Caenorhabditis elegans: one gene and its partners. The protein of the gene in region 1 purifies or fractionates together with the protein of each later gene. This does not show direct contact. Each region holds a gene or a part of one and is shown in the gene's direction. Other genes may lie near its edges.

Evidence for each region.
Region 2: the proteins of gdh-1 (region 1) and nol-14 fractionate together in Caenorhabditis elegans (co-fractionation; one large-scale study listed by BioGRID). This does not show direct contact.
Region 3: the proteins of gdh-1 (region 1) and emg-1 fractionate together in Caenorhabditis elegans (co-fractionation; one large-scale study listed by BioGRID). This does not show direct contact.
Region 4: the proteins of gdh-1 (region 1) and gspd-1 fractionate together in Caenorhabditis elegans (co-fractionation; one large-scale study listed by BioGRID). This does not show direct contact.

Annotation. Positions count from the first base shown.
Region 1 is NC_003282.8:11,951,322-11,956,053, forward strand, and holds gdh-1 (Glutamate dehydrogenase), read left to right. Parts: upstream 1-1,927; 5' UTR 1,928-1,930; coding exon 1,931-2,206; intron 2,207-2,253; coding exon 2,254-2,658; intron 2,659-2,703; coding exon 2,704-3,367; intron 3,368-3,627; coding exon 3,628-3,893; 3' UTR 3,894-4,220; downstream 4,221-4,732. Other genes in the region: tbx-36 (Putative T-box protein 36), read left to right, coding at 201-755.
Region 2 is NC_003279.8:322,062-329,856, forward strand, and holds the start of nol-14 (Nucleolar protein 14), read left to right. Parts: upstream 1-1,793; 5' UTR 1,794-1,798; coding exon 1,799-1,873; intron 1,874-1,917; coding exon 1,918-2,179; intron 2,180-2,227; coding exon 2,228-2,592; intron 2,593-3,237; coding exon 3,238-3,987; intron 3,988-4,897; coding exon 4,898-5,184; intron 5,185-5,785; coding exon 5,786-5,918; intron 5,919-7,795. Other genes in the region: xpo-2 (Exportin-2), read right to left, coding at 1-327, 724-1,032, 1,082-1,291.
Region 3 is NC_003281.10:10,647,569-10,651,437, forward strand, and holds emg-1 (Ribosomal RNA small subunit methyltransferase nep-1), read left to right. Parts: upstream 1-1,950; coding exon 1,951-2,317; intron 2,318-2,654; coding exon 2,655-2,983; 3' UTR 2,984-3,340; downstream 3,341-3,869. Other genes in the region: orc-4 (ORC (Origin Recognition Complex) subunit), read left to right, coding at 50-218, 610-723, 949-1,090, 1,143-1,245.
Region 4 is NC_003282.8:11,315,425-11,320,466, forward strand, and holds gspd-1 (Glucose-6-phosphate 1-dehydrogenase), read left to right. Parts: upstream 1-1,994; 5' UTR 1,995-1,996; coding exon 1,997-2,122; intron 2,123-2,175; coding exon 2,176-2,382; intron 2,383-2,798; coding exon 2,799-2,874; intron 2,875-2,918; coding exon 2,919-3,171; intron 3,172-3,229; coding exon 3,230-3,531; intron 3,532-3,592; coding exon 3,593-3,730; intron 3,731-3,782; coding exon 3,783-3,984; intron 3,985-4,035; coding exon 4,036-4,212; intron 4,213-4,265; coding exon 4,266-4,353; 3' UTR 4,354-4,527; downstream 4,528-5,042. Other genes in the region: pfd-4 (putative prefoldin subunit 4), read left to right, coding at 1-52, 126-287; B0035.18 (Mitochondrial cytochrome c oxidase subunit VIc/VIIs domain-containing protein), read left to right, coding at 4,896-5,042. UniProt on the Caenorhabditis elegans protein: Cytosolic glucose-6-phosphate dehydrogenase that catalyzes the first and rate-limiting step of the oxidative branch within the pentose phosphate pathway/shunt, an alternative route to glycolysis for the dissimilation of carbohydrates and a major source of reducing power and metabolic intermediates for fatty acid and nucleic acid biosynthetic processes.

The DNA of each region.
Region 1 (4,732 bases):
TCAATTCGTTCTGCAGACTTCACCAATTTACAGGTTTTCCGCCAAAATCAAAAACCTACCGAGACCCAACGTTTTGTGGCGGGGCGTTTTTGCACCTTGATTTCAAAAGGGGCATTTTTTGCGTCCCCAATAATCAGCATGTTTGAAAACCAAAACGATTAATTGCGCAATGGTCATTTAGACTTTTTTCAAATTTTCAGGTGTGTCTCTCCTCGAGAACAATGTATCAAATCCGAGTTGTGTTGTATGAGATGCAAAACGACGAACTGATATACCTGAAGGAAACGAAATTCGACGAAATGATATTCATCACTTGCACTGAATATCGTGGACAAGTCAATCGTGAATTGAAGAAGAGTATGAATCGTTTCTCAAGAAAAAGAAAGTATGAAATCAGTGGAACAAAGTGCCAGCGTTCGAAACGTCCAGCAAAACTTCCTGTCGAATCTCTAGATGAGAAGGAACTAAAAAATGCTGAAAAGGGAATCATGAGTTTGCTTGAATCATCACCTTCGTCACCATCGTACCTTTATCAATATCAATACAATTCTCCACAATCAATACCATCTTCTATTTATGACTCTCTCTACCCATCGTCTCCAGAAGAATATCAGATGGTTCATACTTTTCCACAAACAGACCAATTATCTCCTAGTTTTCAAACTTCGCCCACAGTCCATTATGATTTTTATAATCAGCAATATTATGACAATTCATTTCATGAAAACTATTTCCAGTCATACAATCGGTTATAACTTTCGATTTATGCTTATGTCTAGATTTATCCGGTTTCAAATTACTAACCTGTTTTTCTTTTTTATCACAACTAACAAGCTCACGTTTTATCATTCTTGAAATTTTTTCAATAAATAATGAAAATAAAATCAAAAGTGTAGAATTTGTTCTTAAAGGCGCATGAATTCATTCCAATGGGTCTCGTCGGGAGAAAAAGTTTATGGTAGCGCGTCTTGGTGCTCGGATTTTTTAATTATTTTTTTTCCATTTTAAAAATATTTTATGCTCTATGTTTGGTTATGGAAGCGACCACCGAAAAAGCCACATTCTTCAAAAATTTCTGTCAAATCTCTGGGGGAGAAATAAAATTTAAAAATCGGTTGTCTTATTCTGAAGATTATTTACGAAGAATCAAAGATGTCGATCAGTAAAACAAATCGAAAGAGAAACAAAAACAAAACTGGTATTCAAAATTCGTTGAATGAGATTTTTGACGCGAATTTAGCGAGACACTGTCTCGATTCTTTCTCAGATGACGTCGATTGACCCTGCTTCTTTTGTTTTGTTGCTATGCAGATCGTATGTCCTATGCAATAGCACCACACAATATGGGCGAAGATCAATGACACTCGTCCCACTCTTCTTTTTTCCTTCTTCAAATAGGCGGAGCATCTTTTCTCTATTTTTCCCCCGAATGTTGCCTCTATTTCTCTCTTTCTCTAAATATCTATTTGCCAGTCACCTCCTCCTCCTCCTCCATGAAACGCTATCTTTTGCTTGCAGTTTCATCGGTCTCGCCCACCGATGATGGTTGCGCGTTGTCCTGTAAACAGTTTTGTGTTGGGCTCCTCTAGTTTTGAATAGTTATGGCGCCCGCGTCCCCAGGACGAGCTTTTCGTGGCCTAGAAGCGTTTGCCTACTCGCGGGCGGTGCCACATTTTTTTTAGGAAAAAAGGTTTTGATGCCTCTGCCAATTTTTTTTGATTTAAATATTTTTAAACGAGCTATAACTTAAATAATTTCAAACTGCCGCTGAAAATTATTAAAGGCGCATGGATTTCGTGACGAGACCTCCTGGCATTTTCCTTACTTTTCGATTCCGCCCGGATCTTTTCCTCCTTTTTGCACTTTGGCTTCTTATGTAAAATCTCTTATTTGTTTAAATTTTAATTACAAAATATTTTATTTTCAGGTAATGTTGAGCACTCTTTCCAGAGGCGCCCGCTCGGTCGCTGTCCGAAGCTATTCGGCCGCTACTCTCGATGCCCACTCCCAGGTGCTCGACGAGCAGAAGCCAATGGAGGAGCAGGTCAACCCATCTTTCTACAAGATGGTCGACTTTTACTTCAACAAGGGAGCCGAGGTCATCGCTCCAAAACTCGCCGAGGAGCTCAAGTCCAACTCTTTGAGCCAAAAGGATAAGAAGAATCTCGTGTCCGGAATTCTTGGAGCTATCAAGCCAGTTAACAAGGTAAGAATTTTGAGTCTCATTAATTTATCATATTTTATTTTCTTCAGGTCCTTTACATCACCTTCCCAATCCGTCGTGACAATGGAGAGTTCGAGGTTATTGAGGCCTGGCGCGCACAGCATTCTGAGCACAGAACTCCAACCAAGGGAGGTATCCGTTATTCCCTCGATGTGTGCGAAGATGAGGTCAAAGCTTTGTCTGCTCTTATGACTTACAAGTGCGCTGTTGTCGATGTTCCATTCGGAGGAGCTAAGGGAGGAGTCAAGATTGATCCAAAGCAATACACTGATTATGAAATTGAGAAGATCACCCGCCGTATCGCTATCGAATTCGCAAAGAAGGGATTCCTCGGCCCCGGAGTTGATGTCCCAGCCCCAGATATGGGAACCGGAGAGCGTGAAATGGGATGGATCGCTGATACCTACGCCCAAACCATTGGACATTTGGACAGAGTGAGTATAAATTTTTTGTGAGCATGTGAATAATTTTGTTTGCAGGATGCTTCGGCTTGTATCACAGGAAAGCCAATTGTCAGTGGAGGAATTCACGGACGTGTTTCCGCCACCGGACGTGGAGTGTGGAAGGGACTCGAGGTGTTCACCAACGATGCTGATTACATGAAGATGGTCGGTCTTGACACCGGACTCGCTGGAAAGACTGCTATCATCCAAGGATTCGGAAACGTCGGACTTCACACCCACAGATACCTCCACCGTGCTGGATCAAAGGTCATCGGAATCCAGGAGTACGATTGCGCCGTCTACAACCCAGATGGTATTCATCCAAAGGAGCTCGAAGATTGGAAGGACGCCAATGGAACTATCAAGAACTTCCCAGGAGCCAAGAACTTCGACCCATTCACTGAGCTTATGTACGAGAAGTGCGATATCTTCGTTCCAGCTGCTTGCGAAAAGTCGATCCACAAGGAAAATGCTAGCCGCATTCAAGCTAAGATCATCGCCGAGGCTGCCAACGGACCAACTACCCCAGCTGCTGACAGAATTCTTCTTGCTCGTGGAGATTGCCTCATCATCCCAGACATGTACGTCAACTCTGGTGGAGTTACTGTTTCCTACTTCGAGTGGTTGAAGAATCTTAACCATGTTTCCTACGGACGTCTTACATTCAAATATGACGAGGAAGCCAACAAGATGCTTTTGGGTAAGTAAATTTTCGAAATTTGAATTCCTAGACTTGCGTAGAGTAACACAATGAAACGATTTGCAAGTTTTCATCTGTGATAAAATTTTGTTTAGAAACTAACAAGGGCTAGATACTCTTACGCTTGTCACACTTTTCCGTTTATTTTATGAGGAGGGAGAGGAGGCCACTCAACCGTTGTCGTGAAAATGAGTACGTATGCACTCTAGGAAACAAATTGTAAATCAATTCTTTCTGTTTAAAAATGTTTGAATTTTCAGCCTCGGTCCAAGAATCTCTCTCCAAGGCCGTCGGAAAGGATTGCCCAGTTGAACCAAATGCTGCTTTCGCTGCCAAGATCGCTGGAGCTTCCGAGAAAGACATCGTTCACTCTGGACTCGAGTACACAATGCAACGCTCCGGAGAAGCCATCATCCGCACCGCTCACAAGTACAACCTTGGACTTGATATCCGTACTGCTGCCTATGCCAACTCCATCGAGAAGGTCTACAACACCTACAGAACCGCTGGATTCACCTTCACATAAGTACCCACTTCTCACTCATCTCATGGCTCTTGTATCCTCTTTTATGACATCAAATGGCTCCAAGCCAGGTTTAAATAGCTTCGTGTAACCCTTTAGTGCCTTTTCCATAGTTTTCTGTTTCGAAACTATCTAGGTTAACTAAAGTCTAGCTCTGATCTTTTCTGCCTGGTTCGTTCTCACTTTAGTATAATTAAATATTTTATTGGTTCCCCACCCCTTTTCATCCCCACACATAATTTTTTCGTTGTTTGTTGGTTCGGGACGGTTTCGAGACGGAGACCATTCTTCAAAAAAAAATCTCAAAAATAATAAAAAGTTTATTTCCTTAAACACTTCTACATGGTCATTGCAATTTTCCAATGATCATTGGAAAAGAAATTTCAGGGAGCATTAAAAACTTTATCAGACTTGTGTCTTTCTATTTACTATAATTTAGAATTTTCGATAACATATCACTTTCACATTGTGTGCCACTATCAGCTTCAAATTTGGGAATCACCTCCACAATTGTTGCAAAATTTTCGAATTGTCTAAACGAAGTTGATGCTTGGCCGTTTCCATATCAGTTGATCTTTTCCGGCAAAACCTTCGTCGTCAAACTGATGCAATTCCTGGAGAGAATGAAAAGAAATGTTGAAAGATTAAATTGGGTGATCGTTTGAACGAAGCTAATCTGATTGGACAAAAAGAAGAAATGATAAAAGATGATAAAGACAGTTTGGAGGGAATCCCCCATTTCGGTTCGAAGTGTACGCAAATGTTTGAGGGAAATATTTAGAATTGGAGATTTTTTTGAATTTTTGCAGTTACAGAGAAATTTTGGAATGTGCATATCGTGT
Region 2 (7,795 bases), on another chromosome or scaffold:
CTCGGAGATCTCCTCCTCGTAGCGTTGCGAGTAGAGCGTGAAGATCTCACAGATCTCGTGCTTAAGCTCGTCCAGAGTTGTAGGTTCTCCCGAGTTGGAGGTCTGCGTCGGCGCGTCGATTTGCACGAGATGCAAGAAGTGTGGCATCCAGTCCTTGAGATGATCCTCGAAGTATTCCGGAATCTCCTGTGAGCACAGAGAATGGTAGACTTTTGCAATGAGAAGTAAGACTCGGAGCCATTGGGCGATCTCGTCGGCTCCGAGTTGATCCTTCCGCTGTCCCACCTCCATCATGTTCCGTAGCAACAGAGTTAGAGGCTCTTGGGTCTGAAAAATCGGTTCTTTTTATTTGTAACTGAAAAATCTGGGGAGAAAACAGTTTTTCGGTCCAAATTCGAGACTGACATTCAGATTTCTTCAATTTTTTGGCTCAAAAATTTTGAAAATTTGTCCATTTTTATAGGAAAATTATCAATTTTCGCCAAAAATTCCTCATTTTTGCTTTAGTTAAAATTTTTGACTAAAAAATCATAAAATGTTGAATTTTTCACGATTTTTCGGAAAACAAGGCCAGCTTTAGCTAGCTTAAATGTCTAATTTTGGTCATTTTTTAGGGTCAAAGCGGACAAAAATTCAACTTCCGACGGCTGCGACGTAAAAAAGTGGCCAAAATTGGGGATTTTAGCTGAAATTAGCCAAATTTTGAGCCAAAACGCAACTCACGCTCAGTAGACACTTCTTCAGCTCTTTCCAAAGCTCTGCTGACTTGGATTCGAATCGGAATTTGCGGAAAATCTGCTCCATCGACGCCAGCGAGGCCACCAGGTGATTGAGATCCGCTCCGTTCAGGAATTTCGACAAATATGGAACCAAATCTGGCCATTTTTCGGGAAAATCTCTCTGAGCGATGAGATACAGAGCATTGGACAGGATTTCCTGAACATTTGATTTTGTATTGAACATCGCTTCGAGAAGCATGCTTCTGAACTGCTCCTCGTCTTCCTGGCCCATTTCTACCTCTGGTGCCGGGCCCTGAAACAATTTAAATATAAAATTCACGCATTTATTCAAATTTTCCAACCCAATTTCTCTTCACAAAATTTTTCAAAGCGACAGCCGCGGCGATTCGGATCTGCGGAGCAATTTGTTGCTGTTCGTTGACCACCAGTTGAAGAATTTGAATGATATAGCCTGGATTTGATTGCAGCGAGCGGAGCGCTTCTTCTCCACGCTTGCGAATCGCAGCATCCGGCTCCAGAGTCTGCTGGAGAGCTGCTCCGATTTGCTCCATCTGAAAATAGGGAAAAATAGCTGTTTTGGGGGTGAAATAGGGAAGAATTAGGTGAAAGGACAAAGATAGTTTAGCTTAAAACTTGAAATCTAAAATTTCCGGTCAAAATATTAAAGTTTTACGCAATTTTTCGCAGGCCCGCGGGGAATAAACTCGCAAAAATTCGCAAAAATAAAAAAAAAATTTCAAAAGTGTGAAGTGTTTGCGTACAGCGCACCCGACCCGACGCGCAAATTTTTTTCATTATGTTCTCTGTTTTCACTGATTTTTACTGATTTTTCCTAGTTTTCCCTTGATTTTCTTCAAATTTTCCACTTTTTCAGCAAAACGTGCATAAAAAAATAAATTAAAACATTTCAATTTTCAAAACTTTGCAAAATAAAGGCGTCGTTGCGTACAATGCGCACGACTTGACGCGCAAACTTCCCAATTTTTATTCTTAAATTTTCCTGGATACCCCTGGTTTTTTCTCTGTTTCCCCCCTAATTTTTCGCATTTTCAGCAAACATGGGTGTTGATAAAAAGCAAAAGCAACGAAAAACCAATCCATTCGAGCTAAAATTCAACAAATCCAAGCATGACGTGAGTTTTTCAGAGTTTTGAAGAAAAAATCGATTTTCTCGCAGATTCTCGGCCGGAAAAAGGGCGCACAAGTTGGAGCACCGACTGCGTCACGAAAACGAGCTCACGAGCAACGTGAACAGACGCTAGGCGTAGAATATGACCGGAAAAATAAGATTAGCAAAATTGTCGACAAACGGCTCGGCGAAAAGGACGGAAAAAGCGAGGAGGAGAAGGGCGCGATGAGATTCACAGAGGAAAGAGTCAAAAATTATAAAAGAGCATCGAAATTCAACTTGACAGATGATGGAGATGAGGAGGAAGAAGGTTTATTCCGAAATAAATTGAGAAAAATTTTAATAAAGTAAATTTCAGTACTTACTCACAAGGGAAAAGCGCTCTCGGACATTGAAAAATACGACAAATCGATGATTTCCGACTCGGATGACGATGAAGAGCCGGGAAATTTGGGCTCAAATATGGTAAAAGTGGCTCATTTCGGTGGTGGAGAGAAGACCGCCGAGGAGCACGTCCGCGAAAAAATCAGCCGAGAGGATATGATTTCGAATTTGATTGCGAAAACGAAGCTGGCGCGTCACGAGAAGCAACAGCAGAAGGATGAGCTCGAGCTGATGACAGAGTCGTTGGATTCCAAGTATCAGGCTTTGATGGGCAAAATGAAGGCTTCATTTAGGCCGACCGGGCGCCAGCCGCTGGAAAAAGATGATTACGACAAATTGGTACGGGAAACATCCCGGTTTTCTCCAAATTTTTAAGATAAAAGATAATTATAAATTTAGAGTGAAAATCGATTTTTTTCACAATTTTTTAGTGGAAAACCTAAAACCCAAAAAACTTGATCTGAAAATGCTAATTTTTAACCATTTTTGCTATGGAAATTGGAAATTTTCATTAATTTTGCTGTAAAAGTTGAAGAAATCCAAGTTTTAGCTTTGTAATCAGAGAAAACACTGTAAAATTATTTCGGAATTTGTGCAATTTGAAGTGAAAAATAAAACATTTAACTTCTTATCGCGAAAGAAATTGAGCTGAACTGAGAATTTTTTTGACGAAAAATCATTAAAAAGTCAATTTTTTTGACAAAAATTCGAGAAAAGTCGGTTTTTCTTTTGACAAAAATGACGAAAAAGGCAATTTTTAATTTAAAAAAATAAATTTTTCGCCGAAAAATAACTTTAAAAAAGTCGTTTTTTTACAAAATAAAACAATTTAAAATAACTATTTTTCGACAAAAAAATTAAGAAAAAGCCAATTTTTTTGTTTAAAAAATGATAGAAAAAGGCTTTTTTTTTGTTTCTTCGCCTAAAAAATCAAGAAAAATAGGTTTTATTCCATTTTTTATCCAAAAATTATTATTTTTCCAGACAATCACCTTGAAAACCGAAGCCGACGCTCGTGCCACCCCAGCAGATCGTAAGCTATCCGAAGAAGAAGAAGCTCTGAAAGAAAAAGAACGTCTGGAAACTCTCGAGGCCGCCCGTATCTCGAAAAATAATGCATTTTTCAACGCAAAATCTCATTTATCAGCCGATGCCGACGTTGATATCGATGCTGGATCGAAGGCCGACGCCAGAAAAGTTCAGGCGAAAAATTCGAGATTTGAGGTCAAATTTGACGATGAAGGTGGCCTGATCGATGAGGATACGGTGGAAAAATCCAGGATTTTAAAGAAAAATCTGGATGGTTCTGATGAATCTGACGATGACGAGGATCTAGAAGATGAGGAAGAGGATCTGGATGATCTACTGGAAGATGAGGATGAGCTGGAAGAAGATTCCGATGATGAGGAAGCTCAGGAAGCCCAAAAAGTCGTCAAAAAAGCGAAAAAATCTGCTCCAGAACCCGCTGAAACTCTGCCATTCGTATTCGAAATGCCGAAAAACTATAAAAAATTCTGTGCTCTTCTGGAAAAACACTCGGAATCGATGGATTTAGTGCTGGAACGACTCGTGAAATGTCATCATCCGAGCCTTAAAGAAGGAAATAAGAAGCGTCTGAATAAGCTTTTCCTCTTGTGTTTAAGATGGTTTGATGATATGTCGAAGGAGGAATTGACAGCGGAAAGTGTGAAGGAAATGAATTTAGCGCAGGAAACTATGCATGCGTTGATGAAGGTAGCGATTGGATGGAAAAGCTGAAAAATTACCGCACTTTTTAATCTGAAAATTGAAAAAATTCGAGAATTTTTGACCTAAAATTTTGAAAAATTCCCGATTTTTATACCCCAAAAATTGCAAAAAAGTCCCGATTTTTTACCAAAAAATGTTTTAAAATCCCCGAATTTTTTACCTAAAAATTGCAAAAAAGTTTCGATATTTAGACCCAAAAATTGCAAAAAAGTCCCGATATTTTTACCAAAAAATGTTTTATAATCCCCGAATTTTTGACCTAAAAATTGCAAAAAAGTCTCGATTTTTAGACCCAAAAATTGCAAAAAAGTCCCGAATTTTTTACCAAAAAATGTTTTAAAATCCCCGAATTTTTGACCTAAAAATTGCAAAAAAGCCGGTTTTTTTACAAAAAAATGTTTTAAAATCCCCGAATTTTTGACCGAAAAATTGCAAAAAAGTCTCGATTTTTAGACCCAAAAATTGCAAAAAAGTCCCGAATTTTTTACCAAAAAATGTTTTAAAATCCCCGAATTTTTTGACCTAAAAATTGCAATAAATTCCAAAAACTTTGGCCAAAAAATTAAAAAAAATACCCGAATGTTTGACCCAAAAATTGCAAAAAAGCCCCGATTTTTTGAGAAAAATCATGTGAAATTAAAACCTTTTTTTTTTGAAAATCAGTCTCGAAAAAAAAAAGAAAAACCAGGAAAATCATGAAAATTTAAGAAAAAAATCATTAAAAATAGGAAACGATCATGGAAATATTTTTAAAGAAACATTATATAAAAAATCATTAAAATTTCAGAAAAAAAATATGGAAAATCCTGAAAATAAAGAAAATAATATTAAAAATTCAGATTAAAAAACGCAAAAAATTCAACAATTGAAAAAAATTTCAAATTGTTTTTTGCAGTTCGACATTCAATACGGAGTCCGATGTGTGCGTGCTCTAATCCGTCAACACTGGAAAGGCCGCCAGGATAAACAGAAGAGTAGCCCAGTGTCATTTGGATTAATCTCTGCAATTCGTCTTGTTTCCGGCCTCTTCCCAGTTGCCGATTCCTGGCATCCTGTAGTGGTTCCGGCTCTTTTTTTGGCAACTGAAGCACTTTGCTCGGCGAAATGTGCCAATTTGAATGCGTTGGCTAAACAAATTCAATTGGCTAATGCTATTGTTGAATATGTGTCTGAATCCAAGAGGTAATACTTGGAAACGAACATTTAAATAGGCAAATTTTGAAAAAAATACTGAAAGCTTTGATATAAAATAGGAAAAGTAACGAAAAAAAAAGCCAAAACCACCAAAAATATTATTTTCAAAAGCTAACTCAAAAAATTTAAAATTCAGAATTGTCGCTTAAAAAAATCTATTTTTTTCGATATCGAAAAAAGATTACTATAAAAATTCAAAAAAGCAATTTTTTAAAATATAACTTGATTTTTTTTTCTGAAGTTCATTTTTTAACAAATAATTGCATTAATTTTCCATTTTAATGTTAAAAAAAAGCGAATTTTTCAAAAATTGATATAAATTTTGTTTTGGCAATTTTTAGATCAGAAAACATTGAAAAAATACAAAAATCCCGTTTTTTTTTAAATTAATTTTTTAGAAAAAATTGCAATTTTTCAAAAATCTTCCGGTCATTTCTCTATTTTTAAAAAATCTCTCGTCTCTTTTAAAAAAATTTAAAAAACCGAATTATCGAAGCGTATCAAAATTTTGAAATTAAAAAAAAAACCGAACTCCATTTTTACGAAAAATCCGAAAGTTGAAAATTGTTTTCAATAAAATAAATTTCAGATACGTCCCCGAGCTGGTCGCATTTGCTCGAAGTGCTCTTCTGCTTGCAGTTACAGAGAAAAGTGAGAAATTCGCGACAAATGGATTCCCGATTTCCAAGCCACACACGGAAATGTTATGCTTTGAGGAGAAGGTAAATTTATAAAATTTGTTTTTTTGAGCAAAAAATTGGTTTTTTTTTTTGGTTTTCTCTTTAAAAAAATTTGCTTAAAAACGCTCAATATTTAAAAAAAAAACTGGCAAAATCGAATTTTATAATATAAATTAAAAATTTTGTTCAAATAAAAATGATTTTTTTTTGAAAATTTAGTTTTGAAAAATTTAAAATTAAATTTTAAATTTTCACAAAATTGCCAATGATAAAATGTTCACTTTTTCTTGTATAAAACTGCTTGAAATTTTTTAAAAGCAATTTTCCGAAAAATAATTTTTTAATAGATTTCTGAAAAACCGAAAAACCACCGATTGAAAAACGAAAATCAAGTTTTTTTCCGAATTTTCTATTTTTAACAAATTAAATATCAATTTTGCACATACAAAACGGTTAAAAAAAAACAAAAAAAATTGCCGAGAGCCAAAAAAATTTAAGTTTCAGCGATTTTGAAATTTTTTTTTTAGGAAACACGGTCTCCTCGGGTGGAAACGAAGGGGGAGGGAGATTGCTTGCGCGTTTCACCGATGCGCCTTTCGCGTGCTGGCGCACTTCTGAATATTGAATTATTTTTGCGGAAAAAATTCATTTCTTCTATGAAATTTTCTTGAGAAAGCAAAGGAAAGATGATGAAATGAATTTTTAAAATAGTTTTCTCAGTTAAAAAGAGAATACCTTGCTGCAAAAGGTTAAATTTATTGAAAAATTGAGAAAATAAGAAGTTTATCTTTGTTTTCACTACATAAAGTGGGGAAATCTCAAAAAAATTTGAAGACAATTAAGAAATATAATTAAATATATAGCCTGAAAGTCAAATAAGAAATGAAGGTTTGGTCACAAACAATTTTATTTTTGAATTGAAGTTTTGAGAAATGATCATGTGCCAGAATCACTAAATCTGAGACATTCAGCCCAATTTCTTTAATTTTCTGTGATTTTATCATGGAAGTGTGGCTTTTTCTGTGATCTTGCCAGTTTTAACAAGTTGAAATTGGAAAATCGTGAAGTGGGAAACTAGCAGTGAAGCTTCCAAAAATTTCAAGCCTTACTGAAAGGAAAGTATTGGAAACTAAAAACGAAAGCTTAAGAAGATACCGTTTTTATATATTTGAGTTTTGAAAAGCCTTAATAGGTTTTAAATACAGTTTTCTCAAGAATTCAAACTTGTAACGATTAAGTTGAGGCACAGAATAAGATGGTAATACTAAGTTATGTTGAAAAAAGCCAAGAAAGACTGAAAACATTGCTTTCAATCTGATTTTTTGTAAGTAATGTAATGTTGAAACATTATTCTTCATAGTTCAGCACTTTGTATGGCTTATTTGAGCCCAAACGTACAGTAGTATGTGGCAAGAAATAAAATATTGTGCCAACAAAATTGGAGCCGAAAAACCCATGATAAAATGTTTAATACGTGTATTGCTCTAATAAAATACCAAATATTAATTAGATTCACTGTCTCGACTCTTTTTAATTCAGATTAATAACTTTTAGCTCCTCTTTTTAACGAAAAATTATAACTGGATTTCACAAAAAGAGTTCGATCTGAGTTCTTTCAACAGGTACATAGACGAATTATATCTTAAAATGACGAGAAAAGTTTGCTCTATAAACGTTATCATTGCAGGTTATGAGAAAAACAAATAAAAATTTAATTTTAAAAAATCCGAAAATTCAGTTGTTATTTTCAAACAGTTCGTTATGCATTTCCACCGAACGGTTTCCGATAATTTTTGTTTCTCCACTTTCGGTTCAGTCTACTTTATAATTGTTATCATTTTGAAATAGAAAAATCGACGAAAAACTAATAAAAATCGAGGGAAATCACTCTTCAACGGTGAAATCTCGGTGGACGCAAT
Region 3 (3,869 bases), on another chromosome or scaffold:
AAATCATATTTTTCGGCTTTTCAACCCCCATTAAAGTCCATATTCTCAGACAAGTCACTACGTCGTTCTGAAACAATTGGCCGCGCAATTCCTGATGCTTTTCGGTTACTATTGTGACGTAGAAGACACGTGGAAACCCGAGGAAATCAGCAAACAGATTCGTAAAATTGTCGAGACGACTTCTCCCTCGTATAATGGAAAATTGTTGATTTTAAAAGGTAGAAATTCTGCTAAAACTTTGAAAAAGGCAGAAAAAACCCACGATTTTCTAATTTTGAAAACAAAAAATGAACAATTCAAGTTCACTTTTTGAAATTCCGCAAAGAATTAAAAATTCTGATTTCAAATCTGGAAATTGAGCTGATAAAGTAATTTTTTACCTTTTTTTTTCGGAACAAATTTCAAATTTTAAACAACTTTAAAATGTAAAAAATCATGCAAAAATCGTGATTTTCAATCAAAACCTATTTTAATCTTTACAGCTTTTGAAATTTTTCTGAAAAATTAAAAAAATCCGGTAAAATCTAGAAAAAACTAATTATATACTGTTTTTTCGGCTCAAAAATTTAATAATTCCAGTGAAATTCTAAAAATTTTTCAAATTTTCAGATCAAACAGTTCGAGCACAATGCGTTTTTCTTTGTGTCTGGAGACTTGTGCAGAATAAAGAGTCAGATGGACCACTTTTGGCGCCAAAAACTTCGTATCGAAACGTTTTTCTAGGTATTTTTTAAAATTTATCTCGGAATTTTCGATTTTTCGAATTTTTAAAAATTGAAAAACGAAAAATTTTTCGATTTTTTGAATTTCCGAAAAATTAAGAAAATGTTCAGAAAATTAACCATAAAATATGATTTTTTTTAAATCTAATTTTCGATTATATTGATGAGAAAAAACATGAAAATTTTAAGCTTATTTTTTAAAAATCTATTTTCTCCGTAATTTCAGAATTCAAAAAACTCGTTAATCAACACTATCCTCCACTGAACGTGAGCAGTGATGTCTACGTATTCCGAGAATTGGATCATCTCGTTAAAATGGGAATTTTGAAGGCAGACGAGAGCACAAATGTGACAAATACCTCGTTTCGGTGGGTTTTTTTTTCAGCTGAAAAATTCACCTCAAATCCTCTTTTTTTTCAGAAAAGTTTGGCTTCATATCAATGATAAAATTGTGGAGGACTCGATCTCGAAGTTGCAGCTCCCGCGAGTTGTTTCCGACTTTTTTATGACTATTTTGAAGTAATTTTGATATTTTTTGTACTATTTGCAATGAAGATTGATCTCGATATTTATATTTTTGTTGAGTTTTTTTTTCTGTGAGAATTATTTTCGGTTTAAAAACCATCATATTATTTTTTGAACTTGTTTTATAAAAATCTTTACAGGAGCTTCAAAAATCGAAAAAATAAAATAAAACCATTTTTCGTTAATTCAAAAATCCCGAAATAAAATATTTAGTTAAATTTTCATGTTTTAGGGGAAATTCGACAAAAAAAGGAACTCACTGAAATTTTTGAAAAACCGTTCAAATTTACAAATTTTTTCGTTTTTGAGTTTTTGAGTTTTTTGATTTTCGACTTACATTTTCTCCGCAGAAATTTTTCAGTGTTTTTGACGAAAAAATATCGAAAAACGAAAAAAGAAGTGAAAACTTTTAATTTATCAAAAATTATGTATATTCCTATATTGATAGATATGGAAAATTAGAAATTTTTCCAAAAGTCGAAAAACTCAATTTTATTTCCAAAAAAGCGGCATTTTTTCGAAAATTTTACAGAACGACCTATCGTTGTTCCCACAGCTTTTATTTAAAATTTGTGCTAAACTATAAAAAATCACAATATTATTCAGAAAATAATTTTTTTTTCATCAGAATTATTGAAAATTCGATTTTTGGTCCTAAAAAAATTACTTTATGACAAAAAAAATTAATTTCTCCGAATTTCAGATGTCCCACGAGTACGATACAGTTGCACCGCCAAATGCGAAGCGCATGAAGACGGATAATCAATTGGAGGACAAGAAGATTTTGTACGTTGTACTGGAAGGATGTAGTCTTGAAACTGCAAAAGTCGGTGGAGAATACGCAATTTTGAGCAGTGATAAACACGCGAATTTTCTGAGAAAACAGAAAAAAGATCCGGCTGATTATCGGCCAGATATCCTACATCAATGCTTGTTGAATCTACTTGATAGTCCGCTTAACAGAGCCGGAAAGCTTCGTGTCTTCTTTAGAACGAGCAAGAATGTGCTCGTTGATGTCTCACCACAGTGCAGAATTCCAAGAACTTTTGATCGATTCTGTGGACTTATGGGTGAGTTTTTGGTTTATTGGAAATTGAAAAAAATATATTTTGAAGTGTTTTTGTATGTAAAATAAGAAAAAAGACAATTTTTCGAGTTTTTTAAAAATTATTTTTTATCAAATTTAAACATAAATTTTTAAAAATACCCTTTTCCTTTTAAAAATACCCGGATTCAAAATACCCCAAAATAGTCTGAAAATCAAAAAAAAATTCACAAAAAAGAGCACAAAAATCCAATTTTCAAAAACATGCTTTAAAATACTTTTTATTGGATTTTTTGTGACTTTTCTTGCAATTAGGTATTTTTATGCAAAATCCCCCTATTTTCTATTTTCCATATTTTCAGTCCAACTCCTGCACAAACTCTCCATTCGAGCCGCCGAAACCACTCAAAAGCTGATGTCAGTAGTGAAGAATCCAGTGTCGAACCATCTTCCAGTGGGATCCCGTAAGATGCTCATGTCGTTCAATGTACCTGAGCTAACAATGGCTAATAAGCTTGTTGCACCGGAAACCGACGAGCCTCTGGTCCTTATTATCGGTGGAATTGCTCGTGGAAAGATCGTCGTCGATTACAACGATTCTGAGACCAAGATCAGCAATTATCCATTGAGTGCAGCGTTGACTTGTGCCAAAGTGACCAGTGGACTTGAGGAGATTTGGGGAATTATTTAATTGATTTTTTGCAGTTTTTTCATTTTATTGTTGTCTGTTTTTGTTACTATCTTCATCTTATAAAGTGCAAAATCACTTTTTTTTTTCGAAAAAAAATGCCGTTTTTTTGTAAATTTCAATGTCTATTTCTTACTTTTACACTGAAATTGTTTTAAAAAAATCAAATATTCTAAAAACCCAAAAAATTAGTTTTTTCTTTGATTTTCCTTTCGTAGAGTTCTCTTTTTTTTTTATTTTTTCAGTTTTATTAGGTAGTAATTTAAAACGTTTTAAAATTTTACAATATTTGGCATAAAATTCGGCAAAAACTTTTTTTTTTCAGAAAAATTCTAAATAAAAAAGTCCAGGAGCCTAACTTTTCAGTTTTTACCAATTTTTCAGACAAAATCGAAGAATAATCGTGAAAAATGCGATTTTTTCGCTAAAAATACGGTAGCTGGTATCGAAGCGACAATTTTTTTAGTTGCAGAAGGATGTGCGCCTTTAAAGAGTACTGTAGTTTTAAACTTTCGTTGTTGCGGAATTTTTATTGATTTTTTGTAGTTTTTCGATAAATTATCGATTAAAAAAAAAAGATAAACTCAAATAAAAAATTAAAAAATACAAGAAAACTGTAAAATATTATAAATTTCAACATAACTGGAGAAAAACTGTAAAAAAATTTGAAAAAAAAAAACAATTTTCATATTTTCTCTCCAGTTCTGATAGAATTTCTGACATTTTAAACTTTTTTTTTTACTTTTTATCATAAAAACTATGGCAAATTAAGGAAAATTCTGCAGAAATGAAATTTGGAAATTACAGTACTCTTTAAAGGCGCACAATATTTGGCATAAAAAATCTTCGCTTCGAGACCAGGTACAGTAGTTTTGACACCGAAAACGGG
Region 4 (5,042 bases), 640 kb from region 1:
TTCAGCATCAATTCCATGCAGAATTGGAAGCTGCTTCGTTCATTTCAATGGGGTGAGCAGTTTTTTTTTTAATTTGAATTGAGAATTAACGTTTGGTTTACACGAAAGTAGTGATTGGTTTTCAGGATAGTCTGAATGAGCATTTGGAAGGAAAGAAGACAACAGCAGAGAAGGTTTTGTCTGAGAAAACCTCCGAGTTGGATGCAATCTCAGCGGACATGGAGCAAATCAAGAAGGTTTTGTACGCCAAATTCGGAGATCAGATCAATTTGGACGCTGAAGAATAATCTATAAATTCTAATTTCTTATTTTGCTCGATTTTGTATCTTTTCCGTTGAAGCTTTCATATATAAAAATTATCTCAATTTAAAAATTGCTTTTCTCACCTTTTTCACAACGTGTGCTCACTGTTCACTGTTTCCGCGTATTTTGCTGATGAATTTTTTCGACCGATTTTCCTTATCACGAATGGCACCACCCACTTGTGGGTCACACCAGATCCTAAATATCAATATAGTGGACGGGAAGAGGAAGGTTTTTTCGTGTTTGGTGTTCATTTTAGTTTACATGTTTTGTTTCCCATTGCTCTTTATTTATAGAGGAGACGCTCGCCCACGTAATATAATAGCATTTTGGAAAAATCCATTATCTTTCAGACAATCTTATCATGATTTCCACAATAGACTGGCTAGAATGTAGCATTCTAAATATTTGAATTTAACAGAAAATATTCAATTTCTCTTTAAAAAAATACTTGAAAATTAATTATATTCCCAAATTGGCAACATTCTTTCCCGATTGTCTTTCTGTCCATTTAATTTGTCTGCCCTTTCTTTTCTCACCTTTTTTATCCGTTTCTTTCTTTGTCACCTCCGAAGTTTTGTCAGCATTTTCCGTTTTTTTCTCCTCATATTTTGTTTGCACTTTTCACCTTCTAAAAAAATGATCGGCAGAGACACAAATAAATGTGGCCATTCGTGTGCTCCGTTTTCCAAATGAAACCCGATTGGCAGAATTTATGGTTGAAAATGCATAGTTATTTAGGAGTTGCAAAGAACAGTTTTCATTCTTCTTTTTCTTTGTCTTCTTGTTAATTTGGTAAACTGATCAGACGTTAATCAAATTGATAAACTTTCAAGTTCAGTGATTTTTGATTTGTTTTCTGAAAACGAAATTAGTTTTTTCTCTGATAGACTAAGTCTTCGAAGAATTCATCTTCCAGATAAAATCCAAAAAAAATGTGTTCCAGAATATCCTAGTCGGTCAACTAAAAGTCAAGAACCATAGATTAAATCTAGAGTTACAAAGTTTCGTCTCTTCTCCAGAGTCAAGTTACTCGAGTTTTTATGTTTCCTAGAGAAATACATTGTTTCTTTTCATTGTCGATCAATGTCGCCCAGAGAACATTATTTGTCATGGTTACCACTCGCACACACTACACAATTTCATTCAGTCATCATTTTTTGTGACCCGAGAAGATTTCAGTAAATATTTTCATGTTTGTAAAGAGACTGGCGCATCCACTTTTCTCTTACTGTTTCTTTCTTCTCTCGCTGCCCTGTGAAAAAAATGGAAGTGGAGTAAAAAGTGACCGATTTATAGTGTTGTTCCAGTTGTTCCAATTCATTTATATTGTAGACTGCGGTTCGCTACTAGGTATATGATTCGAAAGGAAAAATTACATTTTTTAGTGCTAGAAATTAACATTATTCCATTAAATGTAACTAGCTGAAAGTAAGCAGTTTATTACTCTGCCAGTAAAAAAGAATTGCGCAGAATCATTATGAAGTACATCAATATATCAATTAACGTATTTCTTTTTGATTTTTCGTTGTATAAATGAAACAATAATCTCACTTTTAAATAACATTTATGTGTATCTAGATGGTTTACTTTGAAACTTGTAGTTTCTACTATTTACCTCTCAACACGAGTAATTTTTGTGAATCAATGTTCGTCATTCTCACTTCAAAATCTAGTTTATAAATTTACAGAAATGGCATGCAAACGTCATTCAGTGTCCGATCCCATTTCGAAGGATCTCGTCGAGTGTCTTCGTGAATCAATGCAAAGAGATCTCAAATTTGAGACTCCGTACGTTTTCGTGATATTTGGAGCATCGGTATGACATCTATTCCATATATATCGATTATTAATTATTTAACATTTTTTCAGGGAGATCTCGCAAAAAAGAAAATATACCCAACACTGTGGTGGTTGTTCCGTGACAACCTTTTGCCAGTCAACATCAAATTTATTGGATATGCCCGTTCCGATCTGACAGTTTTCAAGCTTCGTGAATCTTTTGAGAAAAACTGTAAAGTTCGAGAAAATGAGAAATGTGCTTTTGATGACTTCATCAAGAAGTGCTCATACGTTCAGGTAAATCTACATCTGCTAATAAATAGGCGTGAAACTTTGTTCCAAAAATACAGTGCTCGGTCTCGACACCACAAATTTGTGTTAAATGCGAAAACGTATCACCTTTAAACAGTACTGTAGCTTCAAGCTTTTGTCGATTTCAGATTTTAAAAAAATTGTTTTAAAACTGAAAAAAAATAATTGCAACACATACATTTTTTTTACAAATCAGGTAGGAAAACTACGAAAACCAACAAAAACTTGAAACTACAGTACTCTTTAAAGGCGCGCACTTTTTTGCATTCAACAAAAATTGTGGGGTCGAGACCGGTTACCGTATTTTTCGCACAAAATCTTGTTACTGGGTAATAAAAATTTGAATCGAAGCTTTTTTCTAGAAACTTTGAACATAAAAAGCACCATTGACATTTTTTCAGGGCCAATACGACACTTCTGAAGGATTCCAACGCCTTCAATCTTCAATTGATGATTTCCAAAAAGAAAGCAATAATCGTAGGTTTAGAATTAAATTTCACTCAATCTAAGCAAATTTATAGAAGCCGTCAATCGTCTCTACTACCTCGCTCTTCCTCCATCAGTTTTCAACGTGGTTTCTACGGAATTAAAGAAGAATTGTATGGATCATGGTGATTCATGGACACGTGTTATCATAGAAAAACCATTTGGACATGATTTGAAATCATCTTGTGAACTTTCAACTCATTTGGCGAAACTTTTTAAAGAAGATCAAATCTACCGTATTGATCATTATCTCGGAAAAGAAATGGTTCAGAATTTGATGGTTATGCGGTAAGAATGTTTTTTCAAAGTATTTGAAGAGATTTATAATTTTATTTTGAACTTTCAGATTTGGAAACCGAATTCTCGCTCCATCTTGGAACCGCGATCACATTGCATCAGTTATGATCTCATTTAAAGAAGATTTTGGAACTGGTGGCCGTGCTGGATATTTTGATACAGCTGGAATTATCCGTGATGTTATGCAGAATCATTTGATGCAAATTCTAACTTTAGTCGCCATGGAGAAACCAGCAAGTTTGAATGCTGAAGATATTCGTGATGAAAAGGTCAAAGTGTTGAAAGCTGCTAAAGTTGTAGAATTAAAGGATGTAGTAGTTGGACAATACATTGCCAGTCCTGAATTTGATCGTGAGTTTTTCAAAAATTACAATTTTATAAAAGTTTTGATTTTTAAATACATTAATTTTAGACCCAGAAGCATCACAAGGATACAAAGATGACAAATCAGTTCCAGCCGATTCGACTACTCCAACGTATGCTCTTGCTGTTGTTCACATCAATAATGAACGTTGGGAGGGTGTTCCATTCTTCTTGCGTTGTGGAAAAGGTAGGGAATATACAAAAAAAAACCGAATTTTTAAATTTCAATATTATTGCAGCTCTCAACGAGAAGAAAGCAGAAGTTCGTATACAATTCAAAGAAGTCAGTGGAGATATCTATCCGTCTGGTGAATTAAAGCGATCCGAATTAGTGATGAGAGTGCAACCAAATGAGGCAGTTTACATGAAACTGATGACCAAGAAACCTGGAATGGGATTCGGTGTTGAAGAAACTGAACTTGATTTGACTTATAATAATAGGTTAGTTTTTGAAATTTCTCTTCAAAAAAAATTTCATTGTGATAATTTCAGATTCAAAGAAGTCCGTCTTCCTGATGCTTATGAACGCCTATTTCTCGAAGTATTCATGGGATCTCAAATTAATTTCGTTCGAACTGATGAGCTTGAATACGCTTGGCGTATTTTGACGCCAGTTCTCGAAGAGCTTAAAAAGAAGAAAGTTCAACCGGTTCAATATAAATTTGGAAGGTTGGTTGTGTTTCTTTTTTTTTAAAATTAAATACAGTAATCCAATTTTTCAGTCGTGGTCCAACTGAAGGTGACGAATTGATGAAAAAGTACGGTTTCATCTTCACTGGAACATACAAATGGGTTGCTCCAAAGCTATAAATGATACCAGATCTTCCTCTATTCATTCTCTTTCAAATGTTTGTAGAAATAACTTCAAAAATTCAGCAGCTACTAGTTCATATGTTTTCCTGTGTTCCACATCAATATTATTCCTGCTCTTTTTTCATTTGTTAATGTTCTATTGAATGAATGAAAATAAATACGTTTTCAGTTAAAAGAAGTGTAGAACGATAAGATAAGCCAGTAAAAAGGCTTATTTTAAATAATCTGTATTCAAAAAATAATCATTTTTTCGACAAGCCGGTTACGGTGCGCCAGTCCGCAAACACTCTGCATACACTCTACTTCTACAGTAGTGGACGTGCGACGCGTGTTGCGTCGCGCATCATCATATTGTTCAATTCTTGTTCAAGTTCAATCATATTTTCTTCGGATTTCTATCATTTTCCATCGGATTTCCCATCATTTTTGCACAAATGTTTTAAAGTATCAATATCTTTGATTTAAAAAAAAACGTCTTTCTTGTTTTACGTCTTTTTCTTGCTAGCTGCACATCGTATTACTCATTCTTTTTTTCAGCCATGGTTGCTGCTTCCGCTACCCGGAACATGCTCCAATCATATGGAAAACGTGGAATTTACGTTTCACTTGCTGTCGCTGTCGTCTCGACTGCCGCATTCAACGCATTTTACGTTTGGCCACGTCACAACAAATATGAAGAGTTTTTC